Macaca fascicularis: one gene and its partners. The protein of the gene in region 1 binds, or shares a complex with, the protein of each later gene. Links are inferred from orthologs where the notes say so. Each region holds a gene or a part of one and is shown in the gene's direction. Other genes may lie near its edges.

Region 1 (4,112 bases):
AATTTGATTTTGGTAATCATTACACAATGTATAATTATATCCAATCATCACATTGTACACCTTGAATATATATAATTTTTGTCAAATAACCTTAATAAAGCTGGGAAGAAAACGATAAAAAAGTGACAATCTAACATATGATAAGGTAAAAAGATATTTCAAGAAATTTGGATGACCTCTTGCACCCCACTTTGCTAGCCTCTACTCCCAAGAGTCATGTTCTGGCTATGTGAAGTTGAGCAACTTCTTAAATCTTGCCAAGCTTCAGTTCTTATCTGTAAAATGTGATATTGAAACGATTTGAGAATTGTGAGGGTTAAATGAGATAATTCAGGTAAAGCTCTAAAACCCCTGCCAAGAATAAAGTCTTTTCTTCCCCCCCAAAACTTGAGTATTAGAATTCATTCTCTCTGGTTTCTCTCTTTTGCTATGCTAAAAATAGATCCAGGTCCTTTTCATTGTCAAGATGTTAGTTTCCTTCAAAAGATAACTGCGAGCTACTTGTAATATAACACCAGAAGAGTTATACAGGTCTTAGAAACTACGTTTTTCATAGTAATTATGTTGGTTTGCACTTCCTGGCTTCCCTTCTCAGACGGTAGGTACCTGGAAGCCTAGTGGAGCAGATTCTCCCCACTTGAAGATACTTATAAAAATAACGAACATAGTTCCGATGACCATATGCCCACCATATGCCCAACACTGCTCTGCGCACTTCACACAGTAGTGTTATCTCAGCCTGTGACCATTCCGAGTTAGGTGCCGGGATTCTCCCCGCTTTGTGATAACTTGCCCGAGGTAGTACAGCTAGCCAGCTATGGAACCAGCGCCTGTAGTCCCAGCTACTCGGGAGGCTGAGGCAGGAGAGTGGCGAGAACCCGGGAGGCGGAGCTTGCAGTGAGCTGAGATCCGGCCACTGCACTTCAGCCTGGGCGGCAGAGCGAGACTCCGTCTCAAAAAAAAAACAAAAAACAAAAAACAAACTCGGCTACGCTGCAGCCTGTGGCCCTCCACTTTCTTGCCCGTGCTCTGCAGTTTAGGTAACCTCTGGGGGCGGGGTCTTTTGGGTCAGGTTGTGGCCTCACAGAACAGCGCTTGCTGCGGTTGGATGGATGGGTGGGTGGGTGGATGAAGAGAAGAAACCTGGTGGCGTCGTCCCAGGGCTGTGGAGCGCCCCGAAGGTGAGCGCATCCCCCGCGAGGGCACCTGCCAGCCGCGCAGTTCTCAGCACTCTCCGCCACTTCCGGCCCTGGCCCCGCCCCCTCGGGTGGCTGGCGTCCGTTACGCGTTGAGGAATTTTGTCCCCAGCGCCGACCCGTCTCTGCCCTCGCCGCTGCCATGGCGGCAGCTCCGCCGCTTTCCAAGGCCGAGTATCTGAAGCGTTACTTGTCCGGGGCAGATGCCGGCGTCGACCGGGGGTCTGAGTCCGGTCGCAAGCGTCGCAAAAAGCGGCCGAAGCCTGGCGGGGCCGGCGGCAAGGGGTGAGTTGGTACCGGCCGGGGCGGGGCCTGCAACGACTCGCCACCCCTCACCCTTCCCAACTCCGCCCTCGGTCGCCTGGCGACTCCTTCCCTCTTGGCGGGTCTCCCGGCTTCTCCGCCGACCCCTGCTCATGCCCAGGGCCCCACTCACATCGCTTGAGGCCCCGCATTGCCTCTGCCGCCCCGCTTACACCTCGAGCCTCTGAGCAGTAGCGTCAGTGCGTTAGAGCCGGGCTGTAACTTTGATTACTCTTTTCCCGCCTTGGTAGACTTCCGTCCTCTCCCATGGAGAATGAATATTGCGCCCCGAGAATAATGGAGCGGATTCAAAGCCTCTGTGCTTGAATCTTTAGGGCCCGGTACCTGCCTGTGGGGATTCCCAAATCCCAAGGACTTGGTTCTGAATCAGAGACCTTGGATCACCTCCTGTTACTCTTAGTAATAGTCCTACTAACAAGAGAAGTTAACATTTACATAATTATACTTTTCTTGCCAGGCAACATTATAAGAAATTTAAACATAAGTTTGTTTAAGCCTTACAACAGTACCATGAACTGGGTATTATTTTCAAATGGGAAAACTTTGTGGCCCAATATAGTGGGCCCTACCAAATCGTTTTCCACCCAGAACCACAGAATGTGACATTTAGAAATAGGGTCTTTGGAGATGTAATCAGTTAAGATGAAGTCATACTTGATTAAGGTGGGTGCCAAATACAAAATGACTGTTTTCCTTTTAAAAAGAGGGAAGTATGGATACAGACACAGCAACAAAGGAAAAACGACCATGTCTAGATGAAGGCTGAGATTGGATTGGATTTATGTTGCCAAAAGCCAAGGTATGCCTGGGGCTACCAGAAGCTGGGAGAGGCAAGGAAAGATCCTTCCCTACCGACTTTGCAGGGAGGATGGCCTTGCAGACACCTGGATTTCAGATTGCTAGCTTCCAGAACTGTGAGAGTTTCTGTTGTTTTATGCCACGCAATTTTGTGGTACTTTGTTACAGTAACCCTAAGGCACTAAGATACCCAGTGAAGTCACATTGTTCTAAAGAACTAGTCCATGTTGTTTTCTGGTTTGGTGCTTGCCTTATTATTGTCCTCGTCTTTCTGCTTCGCTGACTTGTGTGGATCCTTTGGAGGCAGTGCCATGTGATGAAAGTAGCTTGAGTGTTGGAGCAGCACTGGTCAGAGTTCGAATCCTAGCTGTGCCACTTTATAGGCTGTGTACCCTTGGGCAAAGTGTTTCATCTCACTGAACTGCAGTTTCCTTATCTTTAAAATGGGAATAATACTGAATAATAATGCTTTTATGAAGTGGTGGTTGTGATTAGAGGGATTGCATTAAGTGACCCTGGCTTTTTGAATAACTTCACATCATGGCAGTCATGGTTATTATTGGGGCTCAACTATAGTTTATCCATGTAACAAGCATTTATTGAATACACTGTATTCCAGTTACTGAGGATGCCTCTGTGAACAAAAAGAAACATAGTCCCTGTTCTTGTGGAGCTTATAGTTTAGTGGGAATACAGGCTTTAAGCAACTAATTACACAACTAATTGGTGTATTTTCTTTATGATAAATGCAATGAAAGTATTCCAAGAGTTTTTAACAAGAGTTCTTAGTCTTTTTTTTTTTTTTTTTTTTTTGAGACAGAGTCTCACTCTGTCCCCCAGGCTGGAGTGCAGTGGCATGATCTCAGCTCACTGCAAGCTCCAACTACAGGGTTCACGCCATTCTCCTGCCTCAGCCTCCCAAGTAGCTGGGACTACAGGCACCCGCCACCACACCTGGCTAATTTTTTGTATTTTTAGTAGAGACAGGGTTTCACCATGTTAGCCAGGTTGGTCTCGATCTCCTGACCTCATGATCCACCTGCCTCAGCCTCCAAGTGTTGGGATTACAGGCGTGAGCCACTGGGCCCGGCCGGGTCCGTGGTCTTGAGTGAGTGTGAGATAGTGGGGGAATCCGGGAAGCAGTCAAGAAAAGTTTGCCAGACTGGGTGCGATGGCTCTCGCCTGTAATCCCAGCACTTTGGGAGGCCGAGGCGGGCGGATCATGAGGTCAGGAGATCAAGACCATCCTGGCTAACACAGTGAAACCCCATCTGTACTAAAAAAATACAAAAAATTAGCCGGGCATAGTGGCAGGCGCCTGTAGTCCCAGCTACTCGGGAGGCTGAGGCAGGAGAATGGCACGATCCCGGGAGGCGGAGCTTGCAGTGAGCTGAGATTGTGCCACTGCACTCCAACCTGGGCGACAGAGCAAGACTCCGTCTCAAAAAAAAAAAAAAAAAAAGTTTGCCAAAGGAAGTTAAATTTGTGTTAGGACCTGAAAAATGAGGAAGAGTTTCCTGGAATGAGGAAGAGTTTCCTAGCACTTTGGGAGGCCAAGGCGGGTGGATTGCTTGCATATAGGAGTTTGGGACCAGTCTGGGCAACATGGTTAAACCCTGTTTCTACAAAAAATTAAAAAAAAAAAAAGTCAGGCACAGTGGCACATGCCTGTAGTCTCAGCTACTTGGGAGACTGAGTGGAGAGAATAACTTAACCCCAGGAAGTCAAAGCTGCAGGGAGCCATGATGGTGCCCCTGCACTCCAGCCTGGGCAACAGTGTGAGACCCTGTCTCA
Region 2 (2,318 bases), on another chromosome or scaffold:
TTAAAAAGTCTACACTTCAGTACAGACTGACTTTTTCCCCAAATATTTTCAATCGGGTCGGTTGAATCCACAAAACCCACTGAATGGAAGGGCCAAGTAGGGTGCAGTGAGGCCTTGGAGGAAGGATATCAAAATAAGTGGCTAGAGAGGAAGGAGGAGCTTGAGGTGGAAGCCGGAATGTGTGGGAATTGGTGCTGTACTTGCTCACCAAGCACCCTGGTTAGAGCTGAAATAACTCTTTTATGCCACAGACTCCTAAGAGACATAGCTGGGACCAGAACTTGTGCCTGCCGACTTCTGGGAAATCCATCCCTGGTTGTGAAGGGATGGCTGTGCTACCATGATAGCTTTGGAAAACAGGGAGAGTTTATTTTCGGGGCTGCTTGTAGTCCAGTCCTACTTGGGTTTCCCATTTCCCATCAGCCCCAAGCCACCCACGGATGCTCCCCACCTCCCAGACATCACCCTCCACTAGGTCCCCAGATCACTTTTAAAACGCGACCAGGGGCCTGGCGCAGTGGCTCACGCCTGTAATCCCAGCATTTTGGAAGTCCGAGGAGGGAGGATCACGAAATCAGGAGTTCGAGATCAGCCAGGCAAAGACAGTGAAACCCCATCTCTACTAAAAATACAAAAAAAAAAAAAAAAAAAAAAAAAAAAAAATTGGCCTGGCGTGGTGGTGTGCGCCTGTAATCCCAGCTACTGGAGAGGCTGAGGCAGGAGAATCGCGTGAACCCAGGAGGCGTTAAGTTGCAGTGAATCGAGATCGCGCCATTACACTGCAGTCCCGGTAACAGTGCGAGACTCTGTCTCAAACAACAAAACGAGACCAGGAGTTCCAGAAGCCTACGAGCACGAACTCCCAAGACCACAAGTCCCAGCATGCAAGGCTCCCTGTTGGAAAAGGGCTTCCCATAGCCACCAAGTGGACCATCATGCAAAGCTCTCTGACGGGGCGGGGCTCTCTACAGGGGCGACACACTTGTGGCGTCGCCTCGGCAACTCCAATTCCGTGACAGAATGTGCTTCCGCTTCCGCCTTTGAGCCCTATGAGCGAGACTTACGCTACTTAGTCGTCGTGACGCCATTCTTCTGCGACGGCGCGGGCCGGGAGCTTCCGCACGGTGGCCTCACTCCCGCGTGAAACGCCAGAGCGGCGATTTGTTGTCTGCGTCCTCTGTCCTGGGAACTAAGGGGAAAGCGGCGAGATGACGGACCGCTACACCATCCACAGCCAGCTGGAGCACCTGCAGTCCAAGTACATCGGCACGGGCCACGCCGACACCACCAAGTGGGAGTGGCTGGTGAACCAACACCGCGACTCGTACTGCTCCTACATGGGCCACTTCGACCTTCTCAACTACTTCGCCATTGCAGAGAATGAGAGCAAAGCGCGAGTCCGCTTCAATTTGATGGAGAAGATGCTTCAGCCTTGTGGACCGCCAGCCGACAAGCCCGAGGAGAACTGAGACTCTGCCTTACCACCACTGTGCGGGGCACCTCTCCCAGTGTTCCTCAGGTTGGCCAATCCCTTCGACTATTTCTGCCTCCAAAGGACCGGCTCTCCATGGCTCCTGCGTCTGGTACTTCCGCGTACAGAAGTGCTTGCCCGGGGAATCCCGCCTGACCTGCCTTCATGTGAACCCTTTGGAATAGCACTGGGAGACCAGCAGAACCCCTGAGAACTGTGTTGGTGAAGAGGGCCTAGAGCCGGCAAGCGTTTGAGAAGAGGGCGTGGCGCTGGAATGAGATGGGATTTGGCGTCTCATTTTTGGCTAATTGATTGTCATTGGCTTTTTCCATAAAGTTTAGAAATCATTCACTCTCTTGGTGTGAACTTCCTGTGTTAGGGTGGAGGGCTCCTGAAAGACCCGAGCGGGAAATGGGTCGGGGGAGGGAGTGCATGCCAGTGTCCATGATCAGGTACTTAAATCCACCCTGTCTACCATTATAATTAATTCCCCGACTGCCACTTCTCCCAAGAGCGTTATTTTCAGGCCCACAATGCCTTCAGTATTGAAGTTTGTGGTTATTGTATCCCATTTTCTTTTTCTCCCGTTTTAAAAGTCTTTGCAGTCTTTGCTGTCATTGTCCTCCTTAGCCTCTTTAAAATGCATCCTTTCTTTTTCTTGGGAATTTGTGGCCATGTCTCCAGAAATGACAAGCTGGCAAGTGAGTTCATCCTTTCTATATTCAACAAATATTTGTTGAGCTCTATGTGACAGGCATTTTCCCATGGTCTTGAGGCTTACATTATGCTGGTGGTGGAGAAAGGAGGTCAAACACTGTAGACGTAATAAGTAAATGTTAGAAGATGC
Region 3 (4,001 bases), on another chromosome or scaffold:
CACACACGTGGGCGCGCGCGCGCGCGGAGGGGCGCCCGCTAGTGTGAAAAGCAGAAGGGCGAACCTGGGCCTTATCCTAATAGCTCTCATTTAATTCACCCAGTGCTTTTCAAAGGCAGATATTTTACTGATAAGGAAACAAGGCAAACAGGTGAGGTGGTCCAAGGTCCCACGCGCTACAGCTCTCTCTCTGGTATAAGGAAATACACTAGGCATGAAGAAGCAAACGGATGGCAAGAAGGGACAATGGTAAACTTTCCCATAGATTCTCTTAAGCTGATTGAGGGAGGGCAAGGGGATCAGGAATCCATTCTCTCAACAGATAGCCCTTCAGCCATTTTTCTGAGCCACCCTCGGAATCGCAGCTGCCATCAGATGTGGATGTAATACAGTGAGCAGTTACCAAACTCAACCGTTTGCTGAGTGAATGAAGGAACCAGAGTAGGCAAAGTGGGAAACCAACTCTCCTGGGAAACCAGCACCGTGTTAGGCCCTGGCGTGCCCCCAGGGCGCCTGCAGGGGTGCCACGGGCATGACGCGGCCCACCTTCCCCAGGCACCGCAGCGGAGAGAAGGCTCTTCAGAGCGGCCCCCAGAGGAGCCTTCACGGGCATCGCCGCACCTCCACCGGCAGCTCCACCCCAACCCTGGTCGCTGGGAATTCTGCCCGACCCTAGGCCGGCGCGAGCGTGGGCAGCGAGGAACCAGCTGAGAAGCAGGATCAAAGAGCTCGGGAGTTGGAGACAAAGAAAAACTGGGGGACAGAGGCAAAAACTCGGATCCGAAAGGGGGTCTGTCCATCAGGGCACGCCGGAAGAGTGGCGCTCGAGCTGACGGCGAGAGCTGGCGGGCCGGGGCGCCGAGGCTCAGGGCTGCTTCGGCAATTCGCGGGGGTGACTTGCACCCCGGGAGGCGAGAGCGCCTGGGAAGTCCAGCGAGGCTTACCTAACTTTCCCGCCCGCGGAAGGGAAGCGGGGAACTACTGCCTCCCACCATCAGGTACGACAGGAGGCCCAGGCCCACGCGCAGACGCAGGGTTGTGGGGCGGACACCCACGGCCGAACAGCCAGTCGCAGAAAGGGAGGGGCGGGCAAATGGGGCAGCCCCACCTAGCCGCTCGCGTTCATTCCTCCCGCGGCTTTCCAGGTTTGGGGTAGGCGGGAGCGGTGGGCTTAGAAGCCGGAAGTGGATTGACGTAGCCCGGAAGGGGAATACTTCCCAGTTACAGTGTTGATGTTTTCAGGCTCCTGCTGCTCCTGTTGCGGCTAGGGGAACTGTCGTGGGGAAGGATGGTGTGCGAAAAATGTGAGTTAAGGGGCTGCTTCTGCGGGAGGAGGAGGCTGGGATAATCTAACTGAGCCCTCCCGGGAACTTTGCCTTCTCTTTGTTTTTTTCGCCCACAGGTCTCTGATTCTAGCCGCTGTCTTTCTACCCTACCCTTTGACCATTTTTGCACCTCCCCAACGACCATACAGTCCTATGTATTTTGTACTCAGAATGGTCTCAGTTCTGCACCTCCCTCTCTATTTCCATTGCCTTCCCCCAGCCCCAGATCTCATCGGCTCCCCTCCCATATAAAAATGTTCAGTTAAACCCCAGCGACACCTTTCCCTCTTGGCAATTCCTGTCCTTTCCTTTTTATTCGTGTAACAAGTATTGTACTCCTGCCAAATGTTAGACACTGGAACCAAAGACTTAGGACTTTGCCTTATTCATTCTCATTAGTCATTATGCCAGGATATGGCGTAGAGTAAACCCAGAGATGTTTGAATTGAACATCAACGTAAGTGCAAATTATTATTTCCCTAATTTAAATCCTTTAATAAACTCTCAGTGTGCAGAGAATAATTTGGGGATTCTATATTTGGAACCTGACGTTCAGTACCCTCCACACTAAGGCGCTAACTTATTTTTCCAGCTTCATTTTCACTGACCCTCATCCTCTTCACACTTTGACCAAACAAAATACTCTTTGTGCCCATGTGTACTCTAAGCTTTCTATGCCTTTCCTCAGAATGTGTCCTTTATCTAGTTTGCGTTCATCCTCTTTACTCCTTTTTGTTCACAGTCCTGTTGCCACATATTCAAATCCTCTCTCTTGCCTTCTCTCCAAACTTTGTTTTCTTGGATTTCCTTAGCCAGGGTTATTTTTTCCTGCCTGGAATTTCTCCTAGTACTTTAGTTCTCAATTATTATATCTTTTATTTTTTAGCTTACATTTTGGTTGAATGGTTCTTTTTGGGGAGACGGTCTGTGATCCCTCTGAGAATCTGATGAAAACTGTAGCCTCTTGCCAGGAAAAAAAACTGAAAATATAAAAGGTTTGTGTACAACTCCACCTTGTTCACATATCTCTTAAGATCCACCTGGGGAACCCAGGTTACAGATTGCTGTTAAAGAAATTAGTATACTATAATCTCATTAAAATTTTGTCTGATTCATCACTTTTTCTCAGCACTTTCTATAGTTTATACATCATAGATGCTTAGTAAATATTTATGGAACAAATAGACTTATTGGATTTTTTAAAAGTATAAACAAACAGTGAAAGCTTATTATAAGCCATCTTATTATCCTGCGAATTTTACCGACGGTCAGTCATTCATTGCCCACAGTTAATATGAGTCTCAGTTGACTGGCTGCTTTCTCAGCATTAACAGGCTCCTATGGTAATAGCATTGATAGTCGATACCATTGTGAGCCTTAGGCACAATGTAATGCACTTATGAAATAGTAAATTTTAATTTTCCTTTTACTATCTTGTTCTAACAGGTGAAAAGAAACTTGGTACTGTTATCACTCCAGATACATGGAAAGATGGTGCTAGGAATACCACAGGTATTTCTTCTTTTAGAAAATAGGAATTTAACCAAATACTTACTGTGAATTATATTTTAGCTTTTACATTATTTGTACAATGAAATGTTGTATGTTCAAAGTATTTTATCTATTAAATATTAAAGAATACTGGGTCCCCAAGTGATTTAATATCTTTTATTTAGTTCTCAGTTACTTGTATGGGTTCCCAATATCAGGAGATAGCAAAATTATTAAATGATTGTCAAGTGGTGACAATATCACAGTATTTGATTATCACAATATTTGATTTGATTCAGCTTATTTAGAGTCTGTTTTTAATTTCCCCACTCTTCTGAGGAGAAATTTTTTTAAATCTTCTGATTTTTATATTCTTGAATAAATAAATGCTTTAACCCATTTTACCTTCATTATCATTAAATCTTTATAATGAAGTATTTACCTTCATTATTATTAAATACATATAGTAAAGTATGTTTTCAAAGCGTAGACAAATAAACATTTTCATTATATTGAAGGTCTATGACACTGAAGTAGTGGCTTCTAGATTTTACACTATATAGAGTAAATATAGACCCATTCCTAAAGTACTCCCTTGAGTCTGAGAAATAAAATGATTGTATTTTATACAAATTTTTACTGTTTCCCTAATAAATGTTTTCTTTTTAAGCAGTGTCTTAATAGCCTACTAAATGAGGATTTAAAAATTAGATACAGACTACTATTTTGGTAGAAAGTCAAAGAATGAACTTCTTAATGTTTTATGTTAAATGTATAGAAATAACCCACTAAAATATCTTTTATTCTGATACAGAAAGTGGTGGGAGAAAGCTGAATGAAAATAAAGCTTTGACTTCAAAAAAAGCAAGGTGGGTAAGAGCATCCATAGACAGATCATATAAATTTCCTTTCTTTTAGTATTAAGTCTGCTGGAGTGAATTTGATGTGCATCATTCCATTTGCAATAAAACATAAAGGTAGGTGGTTCATAGCACTCAGAACCAAGCTATCTGTTACAATCCTGCTGGTTTTACCTTATTCCTCCTTGGCTGTATCAATATATGAAGATATTAGTGTTATTCTCTTACAGTTTCACCAGAAAACATGACTTGTATTTTATCTCCTTCTTAATTATCCTATGAATCAGAGACAGCAGGGAAATGTGGAAAGATGGTAAGCTTTGGA
Region 4 (4,093 bases), on another chromosome or scaffold:
GGCACGTGCCTATTGCGCCTGTAATCCCAGCTACTCCAGAGGCTGAGGCAGGAGAATCACTTGAACCTGGGAGGCGGAGGTTGCAGTGAGCCAAGATCGTGCCTCTGCACTCCAGTCTGGGCAACAGAGCAAGACTCCGTCTCCAAAAAAATAAAAATAAAAAATAAAAGATTCTCTTGTCTCAGCCTCCAGAGTAGCTGGGACTACAGATGCACACCTCCACACCTGGCTAATTTTTTGTAGAGATGGCAGGGTCTCACCATGTTGCCCAGGCTGGTCTCAAACCCCTGTTCTCAAGAGATCCTCCTGCCTCAGCCTCCCAAAGTGCTGGGATTATAGGAAGAGCCACTGCACCTGGCCTTGCTTACTTTTAAATAAGCAGCCACCAGTGATTTTCTCAAGATGTTAGCAAAAATGCAGAAAACAGTTTGCCTGTTCCTTAGTTTGGAGATTTTGTCTTTAACAATTTTCCCCAGTTCCCCAGTTTCTTCCTGCCTAGAGGTCTTCCCTTATGCCTGACCTGTCTTCACTCCTGCTGCAGGCAAACCAATCCTAGCAAAGGTCACTTTTTTGTTTGTTTGAGACAGAGTCTTCCTCTGTCGCTCAGGCTGGAGTGCAGTGGTGGGATCTCGGTTCACTGCAAGCTCCGCTTCGCAGGTACAAACGATTCTCCTGCCTCAGCCTCCCGAGTACCTGGGGCTGCAGGCGCACGCCACCACACCCGGCTAATTTTTATATTTTTAGTAGAGACAGGGTTTAGCCATCTTGGCCAGGCTGGCCTCGAACTCCTGACCTCAAGTGATCTGCCCGTCTTGGCTTCCCAAAGTGCTGGGATTACAGGCGTGAGCCACCGCGCCCGGCCAACACGGCTAATATGCTTCATGAGCATGGACCCCATCTTCCAATCTGAAATAGAATTTCGGTTGTCCCTTACTTTGTAGAGTTTTTGGCTCTATAAAACTTCCATACTTTATTTATTATGTATCCTGTCCCTCCCCCACCGCAAAATGTAAATTTGGTAAGGAACTTTTGATTTGTCCTCTGCTAGATCCCAGCGACGGAAAGCAATGAGCACACATTAGGCCTCCATTAAATTGATTTCACTTGTTGAATGAATGCGTTAGGGAAGCACTCACGAACTGACCATCAGGGGGCGTCAGAGAAACTGGATAGAGGCGGAAATGAAGAAAAAAGAATTACTCCGAACTTTCAGGCATGGTTCCGCGAGGTTTGAACTCGCTCGGCCACCGTAGTGCTTAGAGGCCGGAAAAAGTGCAGCCCCTTCCGGGCTTTGCGGTACCGGACGACGGCTTTGGGATGTCGGAAATTGATCCTAGAGGTCCCAAGGTAGCCGCCTTGCGAAGCTGAGGCTCCAGCCGAGGGCTCCAGGCCTCCGACCGGCCCAGCAGTGAACGGGGCTGCCCGACGCTTCAGGGCTGGGAGCAGGGAGCGTGGGTCGCCATGGCGACGCCGGCGGGGCTGGAGCGCTGGGTTCAGGACGAGCTGCACTCGGTGTTGGGGCTGAGCGAGCGGCACGTCGCCCAGTTCCTGATCGGTACTGCACAGCGCTGCACGTCGGCCGAGGAGTTCGTGCAGCGCCTACGAGACACTGATACTTTGGATCTCAGTGGACCGGCCCGGGACTTCGCCCTGAGACTCTGGAACAAGGTGTCGGCAGGGTGGGGAGGGGTCCTGTGATTTGTCCCGATGAGGCTGGCCTAACGGTCCATCGAGGAGTTAAGAAAGCTCAGTTCACAAGCACTTATTCTTTGTCCGTTGTCGCCTAGGTACTGTGCTAGCTGCTGGACGCCCAGCTCAGTGGAGAAGATTGAGGAGGGCTTAGGTGTGTCGGGTTAAACGCAATAGAACGGTGTTTTTCGAACTCTTAACATGCATCCAGGGCCCTTGTTAAAATGCAGATTGCGATTCAGTAGGGATCTTAGTTTCTGCATTTCTTTCTTTTTCTTTCTTTCTTTCCTTTTTTTTTTTTTTTTTTTTTTGAGAGACACAGCCTCGCTCGCCCTGTCGCCCAGGCTGGAGTGCGGTCATAAGATCACGGCTCACTACAGCGTCGATCTCCCTGGCTGAAGCGACCCTCCCATCTCATCTTCCCCAGTAGCTGGGACTATGGGCATGCGCCACCACCCCCGGCTAATATCTTTTATTTTTATTTTTATTTTTAGAGACGAGGCCTTGGTGTGTTGCGCAGGCTGGTCTCTAACTCCTCAGCTCAAGCAGTCCTCCTCTCTCAGCCCCGCAAAGTGCTGGGATTACAGGCGTGAGCCACCTTGCCCGTCCCCCCTCAGCTTCTGAACTTCCTTTCAGCCGTTTAATTAACAGAGGAGGCCCGGTGCAGTGGCTCACACCTGTAATCCCAGCACCCCAGAAGGCTGAGGCAGGAGGATCATTTGAGCCCAGGAGTTCGAGACCAGCCTGGGCAACATAGTGAAACCTCCCTACAAAAAATTTAAAAATTAATTGGGCGTTGTAGTGTGCACCTGTGTTTCCAGCTACTTAGGAGCCTGAGGTGGGAGGATCACTTGAGCCCAAGAGGGACAGAGTGAAACCCTGTCTGTAAAAAAAGCCAAAAAGCTGTGGGCCCCATTCAGGATGATAAACATGGGGTGAAGCCATGAGGAAGACAGAATGAAGGCTGGTTAGCTGGTTTAAAACTAAGTAATTGTGCCCGGGTGCGGTGGCTCACGCCTGTAATCCCAGCACTTTGGGAGGCCCAGGCAACTGGATCATGAGGTCAGGAGTTTGAGACCAACCTGGCCAACATGGTGAAACCTCATCTCTACTAAAAATACAGAAATTAGTCAGGTGTGGTGGCAGGCGCCTGTAATCCCAGCTACTTGGGAGGCTGAGGCAGGAGAATTGCTTGAACCTAGGAGGTGGAGGTTGAAGTGAGCCGAGATCACACCATTGCACTCCAGCTCCGGGTGACAGACCAAGACTCCATCTCGGCGGGCGGGGGGAGACTAAGTAATTGCTTAAATTAGGAACAGAGCTAGAGCTAAGTGGGAGGGCAGAGATCAGGAGTTGCTCAGACCTCCTTATCTTCCCCTCTACTGACAGGTACCACGAAAGGCAGTGGTAGAAAAGCCAGCGCGGGCAGCAGAGCGAGAGGCCCGAGCCCTGCTGGAGAAGAACCGATCTTATAGGTTGTTGGAAGACAGTGAAGAGAGCAGTGAGGAGACTGTGAGTAGGGCTGGAAGCAGCCTCCAGAAGAAACGTAAAAAGCGGAAACACCTCAGGAAGAAGCGTGAGGAAGAGGAGGAAGAAGAGGAGGAAGAGGCTTCTGAGAAAGGGAAGAAGAAAACAGGGTAAGTCAGAAGCAGGGCGAGGGAGGATGGGGCAGGCTGAAGTGTGCTCAATGCCCTTATTTAATCCCCTGGATGGGCTGCAGGGGGAGTAAACAGCAGACAGAGAAGCCAGAGTCAGAAGATGAGTGGGAACGGACAGAGCGTGAGCGCCTTCAGGACCTGGAGGAGCGTGATGCCTTTGCTGAGAGGGTTCGACAGCGGGACAAGGATCGGACTCGAAATGTCCTGGAGCGGTCAGACAAGAAGGTGAACAGGAGCAGCACGTTCTGTAAATCCCCAAGATCCCAGGGTGAAATGTGAGGTTGGCTGTGATTGCAGAGATGGTGATCTCTGGGAAGACAAGGGGCTTTCTCTAGTGAGATGTTCCCCTCTGTGGGGAGAGATGAGGTGAGAGAAGCCCTGTGCATCCTGTGGCTAAGGCAACTCTACTGTACCTGCAATCATACAGATCCCTCACTGAGAGGGGACATTTTTTGTGTTAGGGTACATCTGAATGATCCTTGTGATTCTAAAGAGGAGCAGCTGTCAGTGTGGGGGCTCTTTGGCCTCACACCCCTCTATTCTTGTTTTTTTTTTTTCTAGGCTTATGAAGAAGCTCAGAAGCGCCTCAAGATGGCCGAGGAAGACCGGAAGGCCATGGTGAGTCCCAGGGCCCAGGGACCCAAGATCAGAAGACAAAAGGGAAGACCGTCTGATAGAGTGGTTACGTATAGGGAGAGAGAATACAGAGGAAGCACGGTGTGGATGCTGATGGAGTGGTCAGGTCT
Region 5 (3,970 bases), about 110 Mb from region 1:
AATGAGACCATTTCACTGAAGTCTCCCCATTCCCGTACTCAATACACATAAAAACACACACAGTGAGCCTGGCTGTTAGTGACAGGGCAGAGCTAGTGGCAGAGGTGGGGAGAGAAATTGAATTGATGGTGTGGGACAGCGAGAGGTGGATGCTAGGCAGGCAAGAATCCCTGCCAGTATCTGCCTCTGTCCCCAAAGACCACGGGGAGTTGGGGTGGGGAGTGGGCGGCAAGGTGGGCCCCCAGTGCAGGTGCGGCTGAGGGAAAAGGGGCCTGAGTTTATTTTTGAGACTAAAAGACACAAATACTGTCACCAGAAACATTGTTCCTTTTTCCCAGTAATCATTTATTGGGCGCCTCTTGAACGGCAGGTGATGCGAGACTGAAAAAGATCAAGTCCCTGCTCACATTTTTGGGATGCAGGTAGGAAGAAAGGGCAAGAAAGACTTATCAAACGGTGGAGATTCGAATGTATTATGGGAACTCTAAGAAAGGAAAGGAAAGCGGGAGAAAGCTTAGTGAAGACGACATTTGAGCCGGCTTGGAAGGTGGAAAAGGGGGCTTTAGTGTCGCCCTTCCCCCAGGTCGGCAGCTGGAGCTCAGCCCGGGCGGGCCCGCTCCTCTCCTGGCTCGGATCCCCTTTCAGCCCATTCATCCGGGCCTGGGCCGGGGGTGGGCGGGCAGACAATCAGACACTGTTTTATCCCGGGCATTGGCTCCAGCCTCCCGCTTGGCGCCCGCAACGCGGAGCCGCCGGGGAAATGAGTCTCTCGGGACTCCCTGGGAGCGTAAGAGTCCGAGGCTCTGACCGGGGAGCCGGGCCGGAAGGCTTGACAGCCTGCGCTCCCGCAGGTGAGGCGCAGAAAACACTCCCTCCGGGCAGGGCCAGCCTTCCCCGCAGCCCCGCCCTCCGGCCCGCCGCCGGCCTTCTGGGCCGTAGCCTGGCGCAGGGCCCGCAGAGACCGAGACCTGCGCACTACAACTCCCAGGAGGCCTAGCGACCAGACGGCCGAGGGGCCACTGAAGAAAGGGGCGTCTGCGGCGAATCCCGTCGCCTAGCGTACCGCAGCGGGTGGGCCTGCGTGCGCGTCGCCTCCCAACCAGAGAGGACGTGGCGTACGGCGCCGCCGGAAGTTCCGGAAAGTGGGCCCAGAGGCCGGCCCGAGCTTCCGGGTTGGTCGCGCGCCTTGCTGCGGCCAAGATGGCGACCGAGCATCCCGAGCCTCCCAAAGCGGAATTGCAGCTGCCGCCGCCGCCACCTCCAGGCCACTATGGCGCCTGGGCTGCCCAGGAGCTTCAGGCCAAGTTGGCAGAGATCGGAGCTCCGATCCAGGGTGAGGAACACAGAAAGTCGAGGGACCTTTACGGGCCTGCGGAGAAGCGGAGCCTGGTTACCCGGGAGACCCGGGCGCGAGGGGCGGAGGCGGGCAGCTGGGGTCTGACCTGGCCGGGCTTGCCTGCTCCATTGATCGTGTACTTTGCCCCGCAGGTAATCGCGAGGAGCTGGTGGAGCGGCTGCAGACCTACACCCGCCAGGTAGGTGTTGGCGGCGGGACGTCAGGATAGGCCGAGCTTCTCCAGGAGACCTTATATACCCCATCACGGCTCGGTCTTCATTCTTTCTTTATCTTGGCACAGCAAGGCGGAGGCTTGCCCTTTTTGGCTTGTTCTTGCCTTTGCCAGCTTAGTTGTAATTTCTTGTATCCATCTTGGTCCTCTTCAGTGCCCAGCCGGAGCGCTGGCAGACAGGCACTGGATACGTTTTGTTAAATGAATTGGGAGAGATCGTCGATTAGTGAAACAGCTAGTTTTGGACTGACCTAGAGTCCTTTCTCTTTTGCAGACTGGCATCGTGCTGAATCGGCCGGTTTTGAGAGGGGAAGATGGGGACAAAGCCGCTCCACCTCCCATGTCAGCGCAGGTAGGGAGGTTCTTCCATTTTTTAAGATTCTATCTGCTGATCCTTTTGTAGTTCATGAGCATGATGATTCGGTGTTCGCGTGCATGTGTGAGACGTCACACCCTTGCACATCTCGCCTGACCTGAGTGGGGAATAGAAAGATTCCATCTGTTCAGGGTAGCCCTTCCTCTTAATTGCAGTGTACTTGAGATGCAACTGACTGACTGGGCAAGGAGGTACTGCCATGACAGAATTGTGAGCTCTTCAGTTCTCTCTTTGATGCTGATACTTGCCTCCTTTTCCACTGTCTGCTTCTCCAAATTCTACCTGTCATTCAAGATTCAGCTTGTGGCCAGGTGCAGTGGCACATGCCCGTAATCCCACCACTTTGGGATGCTTAGATGGGAGGATCACTTGAAGCCAGGGTTCGAGACCAGCCTGGGCAACACAGTGAGACTCTTGTTACTACAAAAAATTTTTAAAAATTAGCTGGGCACGGCAGCACATGCCTATAAAGTCCAAGCTACTCTCTAAGCTGAGGCTCAAGGATTGCTTGAGCCCTGAGGTTCAAGGCTGCAATGAGCTCTGGTTGCGCCACTGTACTCCATGTACTCCATCCTGGGTGACAGAATGAGACTTTACTTCTCTGAAAAAAAAAGAAAAAAAAAGGTTGGGGGGTGATGGGGCAGGGGCTGGGAGATTGTCAGGAAAAATAGCAAATGCACGCCAGAATTAATACCTAGGCAGTGGGTTGATAGGTGCAGCAAACCACCATGGCACACATTTACCAATGTAACAAACCTGCACATCCTGCACGTGTGCCCCAGAACTTACAATAAAATAAAATAAAATAAAAAAATAGGGGGAAAAAAAAGAGGCAGGGGATGGTGGCTCATGTCTGTAATCTCAGCACTTTGGGAGGCCAAGGCGGGTGAATCGCCTGTGATCAGGAGTTTGAAACCAGCCTGGCCAACATGGTGAAACTGTCTCTACTAAAAATACAAAAATTAGCTGGGCGTGGTGGCACATGTCTGTAATCCCAGCTACTTGGGAGGCTGAGGCAGGAGAATCTCTTGAACCCAGGAGGCGGAGGTTGCAGTGAGCCAGTGAGCCGAGATCAGGCCACTGCACTCCAGCCTGGGCGATAGAGCAAGACTGTCTCAAAAAAAAAAAAAAAAAAGAGAGAGAGGCAGGGCATGGTGGCTCACGCCTGTAATCCCAGCACTTTGGGAGGCCGAGGCGGGCAATCACTTGAGGTCATGAGTTCGAGACCAGCCTGGCCAACATAGTGAAACCTCGTCTTTCCTAAAAATACAAAAATTAGCCGGGCATCGTGGCAGGCGCCTGTAATCCCAGCTACTTGGGAGGCTGAAGCACGAGAATTGCTTGAACCTGGAAAGCAAAGGTTGCAGTGAGCTGAGATTGCACCATTGCGTTCCAGCCTGGGTGACAGACTCTATCTCAAAAAAAAACAAACAAACAAACAAAAAAAAACAAAAAAAAAAAAACAGCTTGAATACAAGGAAGCCCGACTTGTCCCTACCCAGCTGGAAGCAATCACCCTCTTCTTTGCCTGCCCCAGGAACAGTTCCCATGTTCTTTTGTGAGACATTGAGAGCTCCCTGATTTGATTTCATACTCCTTGCATTTAGCAGTCATTGGGGTTTGCATTGCCCTGGTACAGTGGTTCCTGTTTATTTAAGTCCTCTCAATTTCCATGTTGCTTCTGATCCAGGATTTGCTTCTTTTTCTCTAAAGCAGTGGCTCTGACCTAGGATCTATTGATCTCTGTGTGTAGAATGAGGAGTCCCTAGATGGCCTCAGAGGTGTCTTTGAGTCTCCTGGAATTGTATGCAGAGTCTGTATTCAGGATATCTTTCTGGAGAGAGTGGATAGCTTATTGTGGTTGGTGCCGGAAGTTAACATTCTCATATCTTTATAGGGCTATGGAGCATTCTCTCTTACGAATTAGGAACTATGTGTCATTTGACTTAGAATCCCAGCTCCTGACTCAAAGTAGATCCCCCAGATATGTGCAGATGAGTAGATAAATGTTTCCTAATTTTATGAT
Region 6 (3,500 bases), on another chromosome or scaffold:
TGTAAGCTGATAGCCCTTTCTTTCCTCTGGGTTTAGGTTTGTTATTAATCAAAATGTTGGACTTGCTTAGTGCAGTGGTGTGTGAAACAAACAGTTGAAAAAGACAGCTCCTTTAACTTACAGCTCTCTGTTTTTTTTCAAATTTGTAAGGAAATCTGTTTCTTCTTGTGGACTTTGTGCTCTTATTCATGTGTCTAGAGATCATTTTTTATAGCAGAGCCGACTAAATCCAATAGTTGCAAAATTCTCTCATGGCATAGAAAGGAAAAAGGTGCCGTTTTATATTCTTAATTGACAAATTCTGATCAAGTCATTTTTGAAACATGGAGAATCCCTACTAGAAATGGATATTACAAAAAACCATCTGTATTTCTGGGCAGAGAACAGGATAATTTTTTAAATAGAAGAATATGTATATGAAGAGGTATTAATAAGACAGTAAGTTTGTTTTCTCATATCAATCCAGGAGTATTGATGAAATTGTTTTAAAGGGCATATGATTCCAGCTACACTGGTGTTGGTTTAGACATCAACACAGCCAGGCCGTAAGCACTTGGAAAGCTGCTGCTAAGCATGTACTGAAGTGCAGCAGAGGGGTCTAGACGACCCCTGATGTGTGGTAAAGGACCTTTAACAGGAGTCCCACCATTCTGCACCTACTTCTCATCAGTGGTAATATTACAATTTTAAATGGTGCATATTATGGGGGATGCAACAAAGATTGTAAGAAGTGTTGAAGAAAAAGGCTACCTCTCAATAACTGGACGAAAAAAGGCTTAATTTATTACTTAAGTAAAGAGGCGCTGTGCTTTTTAGGCACAGTGTCTCCAAGCAAAGCAGGCTGCAAATCTTACATAGTGTTTTGGGGTCAGGAATTGTTTAGGGGCAGCTGTCAGCCTCAAAAGCCCCATTATTCGAAAGAGACTCTTGTTGACTGGCTGGCTTTCAGAAGCACAATCACTGGAGCGAGTCTGCAACTGATGGGCCAAATTTCAAAAGCATGTAGCTATCACTGGTTAATTGGCTTTCAGTGGTGTATTTACTGAAGTGAGTTGTCACTGATTATTTAGACCTTGGCGAGATAGCATTAATTGCATAAATCTGGTTTAATTATTTTTCCAACTGGTTCTAGTGGCTTACTTAATACCATGGCTGTCGAACAGTCAGCGTTTTTCTGGGAGTTAGAGATTGTCTTACTTTCAGAAGCTAATACCTAAAAGCTGTAGGAAATTGAAAACACTAGAAAATTAGATTTTGCAACGACTGTACAATACATTTTCTAAATAAGGGTGTCCGCTAAAGGAATGGAAGTATAAAAAGTCAGCAACTCCACATGTTCAGGTATTGAGATCAGTTATGAAATTTGATACAAATAATGTATCATTAATAATATAGTTCCAAGCATGGTGGCACATGCTTGTCATCCCAGCTCCTTGGGAGGCTGAGGCAAGGTGTTCACTTGAGCCCAGGAGTTCGAGACCATCGAACATAGCAAGATCTCATCTCAAAAATAATAATAATAATAATAATGAAGTATAAAAATGTGAATGTGACTTATTCAGTAAATTAAAGTGGATTCTAGATCATCCATATATATCATTTCTACTTATTGCGTTCCAGTAAGTTTTCTCAGGTGAGACAAAAGAAGGTAGAAATGGTACATAAGCCTCAACTCACCAGCCCTGGTGAGCAGCAGCTACTAAACCCTTAGTAACGATGATATCACTAGAATTGTGACATTTTGTTTCCCTCCTAAAATCTTTTTAGGATTCTTCAAAAATCTAGGTATACCCATGGGAATTTGCCACACAAGTAAATTTCAGTCATTATTTGTGCTGCTGTAGAGAGAAAAGAGTGAGGGATCTTCACTACTGCCTACCTACTACCCAGATCTCTGCTTATATGGGGGAAAAGATATTAGGGTTTCATCTGAAAGTTACAACAGGCATGTAAGAAGTATTAATCCTACAGTTTAACCGTTTCTGCTGTGATGAAGAAAAGTGTATAGGGTATAACGGTAGGAAAAGACTTAAGACTTTGGTTTTATTTTTATAAAAATTGAACTTCTCGCCAGGCGCAGTGGCTCACACCTGTAATCCCAGCACTTTGGGAGGCCAAGGCAGGCAGATCACAAGATCAGAAGTTCGAGACCAGCCTGGTCAGCATGGTGAAACCCCGTCTCTACTAAAAATACAAAAAATGAGCCAGGCATGGTGGCACATCTCTGTAGTCCCAGCTACTTGGGAGGCTGAGGCAGGAGAATCACTTGAACCCAGGAGGTGGAGGTTGCAGTGAGCCGAGATCATGCCACTGCACTCCAGCCTGGGCAACAAAGTGAGACACCATCTCAAAAAAAAAAAAAAATTGAACTTTTCTCTTTCCAAATTCATTCAACTGTTCTGAAGTCTGCTCTTTTGACTTCTCTGTTTATTGCTGGCACCTCATATGGGGCACAGCTAATTACTAACATATTTAACTGATCCTAAAGATAGCTAGCTTATGACCTCTCAGGATTCCAGCATATGCTGATACCTTAAGACCAGTAAGCTTTTAATGAAGAGAGCAGGATTGGTTAGATTTGTTGTAATCAACAATAGAAGAAATTAGTCCATAGAGTTATGTCAAAAGTTTAGTTTCCTTTTGTATAAAGAAAATATTTTTTAAACCAGCAATTCCCCAGGAAAGAGAGTCATAACACCATTTGAACATCATTTTTAAATTATCTTAATGTATTCCCTACTCTTGACCCATGTAACTGTTGAAATTTTTAAAAATCAGACAGGGCTGGCTTATTGTCTTGAGTTTTGCTCTGCAACCTGACTCACTCTGGCTAAAGGAATGTGTTCTTTAAAGGAAGCAGACAGTGTCCTCTGAGTTTACTTTGAGGAACACTTCTGTATAGAACTCTTTTAACCTCCCATCAGGAAAGAAACCTCAAGTAAAGACTGAGGCAAAGAGATTCTCTACTAGAAATATAAACCAGCAGAACAAACTCCAGACATGTTTTTCAAATTTAAGAGTTTTCTGAGAAGTTGGTTTCCATGTGGTGTAAGCACCAGTAAACAACAAACCCATCTTGGTGTTCCGTACGCTTATGGTTCATTATGTCAATGATAGTAGAGTATAGAATTTCTACTTTAAGTTCCCATGCAAGAATCACTGAACTATCTCTCTCCCTCTTTAGGATGTCACATGTACTTCAGTTTGAGGATAAAAGCAGAAAAGTGAAAGATGCAAGCATGCAAGACTCAGATACATTTGAAATCTATGATCCTCGGAATCCAGTGAATAAAAGAAGGAGGGAAGAAAGCAAAAAGCTGATGAGAGAGAAAAAAGAAAGAAGATAAAATGAGAATAATGATAACCAGAACTTGCTGGAAATGTGCCTGCAATGGCCTTGTAACAGCCATTGTTCCCAACAGCATCACTTAGGGGTGTGAAAAGAAGTATTTTTGAACCTGTTGTCTGGTTTTGAAAAACAATTATCTTGTTTTGCAAAT
Region 7 (4,174 bases), on another chromosome or scaffold:
GGAGGAATTCTGTTCAGGGATTACTAGGCAGAATGAATTAATAAGGGAACAGAGATACATTTGTAAATAGTTTTTTGTTGTTTTTTTGTTTTGGTTTGGTTTTTTTGAAGACAGGGTCTCACTCTGTAGCCCTGGCTGGAGTGCAGTGGTGCCATCACGGCTCACTGCAGCCTCCAACTCCTGGGCTCAAGTGATCCTCCTATCTCTGCTGGGACCACAGGCACGAGCCACCAGCCCCTGCAAAATTTAATTTTTGTAGAGACAGAGTCTTGCTATGTTGGGCAGGTTGGTCTGGAACTCCTGGCTTCAAGCGTTTTTCCTGCCTTGGCCTCCCAAAGGGCCGGAATTACAGGCTGCAGCCTCCGTGTTCGGCTGTAAATAGCTACTTTTGACAGCATAACGGTCTCTGGTCAGGTGTGATTACATTCTTGGGAGGAGAAGAAAGAAACAATTATTCCTTTTGGTAGTCTGTATCTTAGGCAGATAAAGACCTGCGCTTTGGGAGAGATGGTGGGCACCGGGAAGGAACATTGAGGCTTCTTCAGTTCGGCATGTCAGTGCGCCATATTTTGGGGTTTCGATTTCTGAGCCCCAACAGCATTGCAAAAAGTTCAGGAAATAGAAGAGGAAAAGCTAATGATTTGCCCACGGGTTATCATCTCTGATTGCATTTCCATGTCTTCCTCCCTTCTATTTCCAAATGTAAATGTAATTATGGTTTGCGCACAATTTTGTATCCTGCTTTGTCGTTAACAAGTCAGGGTTTTTAAAGTTTGTAAATGGTTTACTAATGGCCACATAACACCCATTAATTTGGCTAACTTCCCTACTGCTGGGTATTTACATTGTTTCCACGTTTTGTAATTACCAGTAATGTGGCAACAAACAGTCTTGAGAGGTTTGCTTTTTCCCAGTTTTTTGTTGTTATTGTTGTTTGTTTGTTTTTGAGACATCTCGCTCTGTCGCCCAGGCTGGAGTGCAGTGGTGCGATCTGCGCTCACTGCAACCTGCGCCTCCCGGGTTCAAGCGATTATCTTGCCTCATTCTCCCGAGTAGCTGGGATTACAGGCGCGCGCCACCACACCTGGCTAATTTTTGTATTTTTAGTAGAGACGAGGTTTTGCCATGTTGGCCAGGCTGTTCTCGAACTCTTGACTTCAGGTGATCCGCCAGCCTCGGCCTCCCAAAGTTCTGGGACTACAGGCGAGAGTCACCACGCCCAGCCAGAAGTTTGTTTTTGAAACTTGAAACTCCCGCCACCCAAGCCGGTCACTGTGGCTACTCCCACTAGGGAGTAGTCACGTGTTTAATATCTGCCGCGAGGATTTCTGGGAGGTTGGGCACCCCGGAAGCGGAAGTCCAGGAGTCAAACTCGTCATTTCCTTCAGCTAGAGGAGCTCAACGGATCTGTTTTCTTTCGCTCAGCCAAAATCACAGAATGAAGGCGGTGAAGAGCGAACGGGAGCGAGGGAGCCGGCGAAGACACCGGGACGGGGACATGGTGCTGCCGGCGGGGGTGGTGGTGAAGCAGGAGCGTCTCAGCCCAGAAGTCGCACCTCCCGCCCACCGCCGTCCGGACCACTCCGGCGGTAGCCCGTCTCCGCCGACCAGCGAGCCGGGCCGCCCGGGCCACCGCGGGAACCGAGCCCGAGGAGTTAGCCGGTAAGTGGGGGAGCAGCCCAGGATGGACGTTGGGTTGGGCTCATTCAGAAAGGCGGGCAGGGCTAGCATCCGAAACAGGTTTTGAATGCTGGGCGCAGCAGCCCGGACTTAATCCTGAGGGACTGTTGAGAGTGATCCAGTCGTGCTTGTGTTATGCTTGCTCTGTCACTTGCCTTATAGCTCGGTGTTCAACGCCTAATGACACACCGGCAGGATCCCACTCCTTCATTCTTGTGTCCCCAGCACTTCGAAGAGTGTAGCCCAACAGATAGCACTGATAATCTGTTAAATTGGAATGAGATTTTCCCCATCCCGCCCACAAATGGAGTGTGGGCCTTGTCTTTCCAGTTACCTGCCAGAAAGGTTTTCACATCGAGGTCTAGGCGAGCTACCTAACAGAAACTGGAAAAATAAAAATAAAAAAAGTTACTTCTTGCTAGACTCATTTATTTATGCATTCATTCACCATAGTTTTACTGAGTGCCTATTTTAAGTGTGAAAGACTGCCCTAGGTATTGGGGCTGCAAGGGCGATTCAGTTAGATGATCTTCACCAGTGCCAAATTGGCCGTGCTCTAACCCTGAGACAGATGATTAAAAAAAAAAAAAAGTTTCAATAACAAGTATTATTGATAGGTTATAACAGTAATGTGATAGAGATTGGAGAGAAGAGGGAGGAGGCCTCTTTAAAGAGGTGCCATTTGAGTCCAGACCTGAGTGATAGGAATGATTCAACCTCTTAAAGATCCAGGCAGAGGAAACAACATCTGCAAAGAACTTGAAGTAGAATGAATTATGATTGAAATGGGAAAAAGCCAGTGTCGGTGGAGTATAGTGGTCAAGAAGGTGGGTGGTAGGAATGAGATGGCATAGGGAGGAAGTAGAACCACAGGATGGAGGGATTGTTCCTGATGCTAGGGGTGTTGGTAGTGAGGGATAAAGAATCAAGGGTGACTTCCGGATGGTGATGCCAGTTAGCAAGATGGCAAGGAGTAGGAGAGGAAAGGTTTTTGAAGGGTTGGAAATTAAGAGTTTTGTTACCTAAGTGAGAAGGTTCAGTAGACAGTTGTCTATGTGAGTATGGAATGCAAGGGAGACGTTAGAGCTAGGAAAATGAACCTCGTGACTCCTTTAATGTGATTGGCAGATACCTTCACAAAAGCAGTGTTTGTGTTAGTAGGTAAGCCTGATACTGGAAGCTAATTTTTATGGGGGAAGGGAAATTGCGATAAAATCCTGTGTACCATGCTCTGTATAGGTCCCCACCCAAAAAGAAAAACAAGTCCTCAGGGAGAAGAAGCAAGTCTCCTCGGAGTAAGAGAAACCGAAGTCCTCACTACTCAACAGTCAAAGTGAAGCAGGTAAGTGGATTGGGGTGTTTTGATGTTGGGTCCAAATTGAGAGCCTTTTCCTATCACAGCTAAAGAGGGCTGTGTGTGTGTGTATTGTGTGTGTGCGCGTGTGTGCACGCACACTCGCCTACATCTCTACCTGTACCTCCAATGGGCTTTTCTGAAAACTGGGTGTATTTCTTTTTTCTGCTTGTTTGCTTAAATTAAACTTTTTATTTTGAGATTATTATTGGTTCACATATGGTTGTCAGAAATAATTCAGGGAGATATACTCTTCCTGGTTTCTCCCAGTGGTAGCATCTATTCATAATAGAACTGTGGTACAATATCATCATCAGAATATTGACATCGATATAGTCAAGATAACATTTCCTTCACCACAAGGAATACCTCATGTTGTCCTTTTGTAGCCACACACACTTATCTCCCACTTTTATCCTTCCTTAACTTCTGTCAACTTCTAATCTGTTCTTCATTTCTATAATTCTGTCATTTCAAGAATGTTATGTAAGTGGAATCATACAGTATGTAACCTTTAGGATTGTCTTTTCTCACTCAGCAGAATCCTTTGGAGATTGATTCAGGTTGCAGCTCTCAGTAGTTTGTTCTATTTCATTGCTGAGTGGTATCCATATGGCATGGATTTAGCCACTTACTCATTAAAGAACATCTGGGTTGTTTCCATTTTTTGGCTATTACACATAAAGCTGCTATATACACATTTGTGTACAGGTTTTTATGTGAACATAAGAGTTCATTTCTCTGGAGTGCAATTGCTGGATTGTACGGTAGTTGCAGGTTTAATTCTTTTAAGAAATTGCCAGACTGTTTTCCAGAGTGGCTGTATTAGTTTCCTAGGGCCACCATAATGAAATACCATAGAGTAGGTGGCTTAAACAACAGAAATTCATTTTCCTGTAGTTCTGGGGCTAAAAGTCAAAAATTAGGGTGTTAGCAGGTTTGGATTCTCCTGAAAAAAATCCTCTTTCCTTGGCTTGCAGATGGCTACCTCTTTGCTGTATCCTTAAATGATCTTTTTTCTGTCCTGGTGTCTTTTCTCAGCCATATTGGATTAGGGCCCTGCCCTCATTTTTTAACTTAATCAGCTCTTTAAAGACCTTATCTCCAAAAACAGTTATTAATACATTCTGAGGTACTTGG

The links.
Region 2: BUD13 (region 1) and SF3B5 share a complex: the UniProt entries of both Homo sapiens proteins name them as parts of the minor spliceosome. The link is inferred for Macaca fascicularis from reciprocal best matches to the Homo sapiens genes BUD13 and SF3B5.
Region 3: BUD13 (region 1) and CRIPT share a complex: the UniProt entries of both Homo sapiens proteins name them as parts of the minor spliceosome. The link is inferred for Macaca fascicularis from reciprocal best matches to the Homo sapiens genes BUD13 and CRIPT.
Region 4: BUD13 (region 1) and DHX16 share a complex: the UniProt entries of both Homo sapiens proteins name them as parts of the minor spliceosome. The link is inferred for Macaca fascicularis from reciprocal best matches to the Homo sapiens genes BUD13 and DHX16.
Region 5: BUD13 (region 1) and SF3B2 share a complex: the UniProt entries of both Homo sapiens proteins name them as parts of the minor spliceosome. The link is inferred for Macaca fascicularis from reciprocal best matches to the Homo sapiens genes BUD13 and SF3B2.
Region 6: BUD13 (region 1) and CWC27 share a complex: the UniProt entries of both Homo sapiens proteins name them as parts of the activated spliceosome. The link is inferred for Macaca fascicularis from reciprocal best matches to the Homo sapiens genes BUD13 and CWC27.
Region 7: BUD13 (region 1) and SNIP1 share a complex: the UniProt entries of both Homo sapiens proteins name them as parts of the minor spliceosome. The link is inferred for Macaca fascicularis from reciprocal best matches to the Homo sapiens genes BUD13 and SNIP1.

Annotation. Positions count from the first base shown.
Region 1 is NC_088388.1:115,624,520-115,628,631, reverse strand, and holds the start of BUD13 (BUD13 homolog), read left to right. Parts: upstream 1-1,312; 5' UTR 1,313-1,338; coding exon 1,339-1,481; intron 1,482-2,224; exon of another isoform or gene 2,225-2,275; coding exon of another isoform or gene 2,276-2,319; intron 2,320-4,112. UniProt on the Homo sapiens protein: Involved in pre-mRNA splicing as component of the activated spliceosome. As a component of the minor spliceosome, involved in the splicing of U12-type introns in pre-mRNAs.
Region 2 is NC_088378.1:48,298,912-48,301,229, reverse strand, and holds SF3B5 (splicing factor 3B subunit 5), read left to right. Parts: upstream 1-1,132; 5' UTR 1,133-1,208; coding exon 1,209-1,469; 3' UTR 1,470-1,818; downstream 1,819-2,318. UniProt on the Homo sapiens protein: Component of the 17S U2 SnRNP complex of the spliceosome, a large ribonucleoprotein complex that removes introns from transcribed pre-mRNAs.
Region 3 is NC_088387.1:75,424,960-75,428,960, reverse strand, and holds the start of CRIPT (cysteine-rich PDZ-binding protein), read left to right. Parts: upstream 1-1,201; 5' UTR 1,202-1,288; coding exon 1,289-1,304; intron 1,305-2,771; coding exon 2,772-2,837; intron 2,838-3,630; coding exon 3,631-3,685; intron 3,686-4,001. UniProt on the Homo sapiens protein: As a component of the minor spliceosome, involved in the splicing of U12-type introns in pre-mRNAs. Involved in the cytoskeletal anchoring of DLG4 in excitatory synapses.
Region 4 is NC_088378.1:141,982,531-141,986,623, forward strand, and holds the start of DHX16 (pre-mRNA-splicing factor ATP-dependent RNA helicase DHX16), read left to right. Parts: upstream 1-1,293; 5' UTR 1,294-1,461; coding exon 1,462-1,668; intron 1,669-1,787; exon of another isoform or gene 1,788-1,843; intron 1,844-3,078; coding exon 3,079-3,326; intron 3,327-3,409; coding exon 3,410-3,572; intron 3,573-3,908; coding exon 3,909-3,965; intron 3,966-4,093. UniProt on the Homo sapiens protein: Required for pre-mRNA splicing as a component of the spliceosome. Contributes to pre-mRNA splicing after spliceosome formation and prior to the first transesterification reaction.
Region 5 is NC_088388.1:8,338,592-8,342,561, reverse strand, and holds the start of SF3B2 (splicing factor 3B subunit 2), read left to right. Parts: upstream 1-1,170; 5' UTR 1,171-1,200; coding exon 1,201-1,333; intron 1,334-1,488; coding exon 1,489-1,535; intron 1,536-1,842; coding exon 1,843-1,920; intron 1,921-1,959; exon of another isoform or gene 1,960-2,042; intron 2,043-3,970. UniProt on the Homo sapiens protein: Component of the 17S U2 SnRNP complex of the spliceosome, a large ribonucleoprotein complex that removes introns from transcribed pre-mRNAs.
Region 6 is NC_088380.1:70,698,151-70,701,650, forward strand, and holds part of CWC27 (spliceosome-associated protein CWC27 homolog), read left to right. Parts: intron 1-3,184; coding exon 3,185-3,347; 3' UTR 3,348-3,500. UniProt on the Homo sapiens protein: As part of the spliceosome, plays a role in pre-mRNA splicing. Probable inactive PPIase with no peptidyl-prolyl cis-trans isomerase activity. As a component of the minor spliceosome, involved in the splicing of U12-type introns in pre-mRNAs.
Region 7 is NC_088375.1:197,372,398-197,376,571, forward strand, and holds the start of SNIP1 (smad nuclear-interacting protein 1), read left to right. Parts: upstream 1-1,374; 5' UTR 1,375-1,438; coding exon 1,439-1,662; intron 1,663-2,919; coding exon 2,920-3,022; intron 3,023-4,174. UniProt on the Homo sapiens protein: Required for pre-mRNA splicing as component of the spliceosome. As a component of the minor spliceosome, involved in the splicing of U12-type introns in pre-mRNAs. Down-regulates NF-kappa-B signaling by competing with RELA for CREBBP/EP300 binding.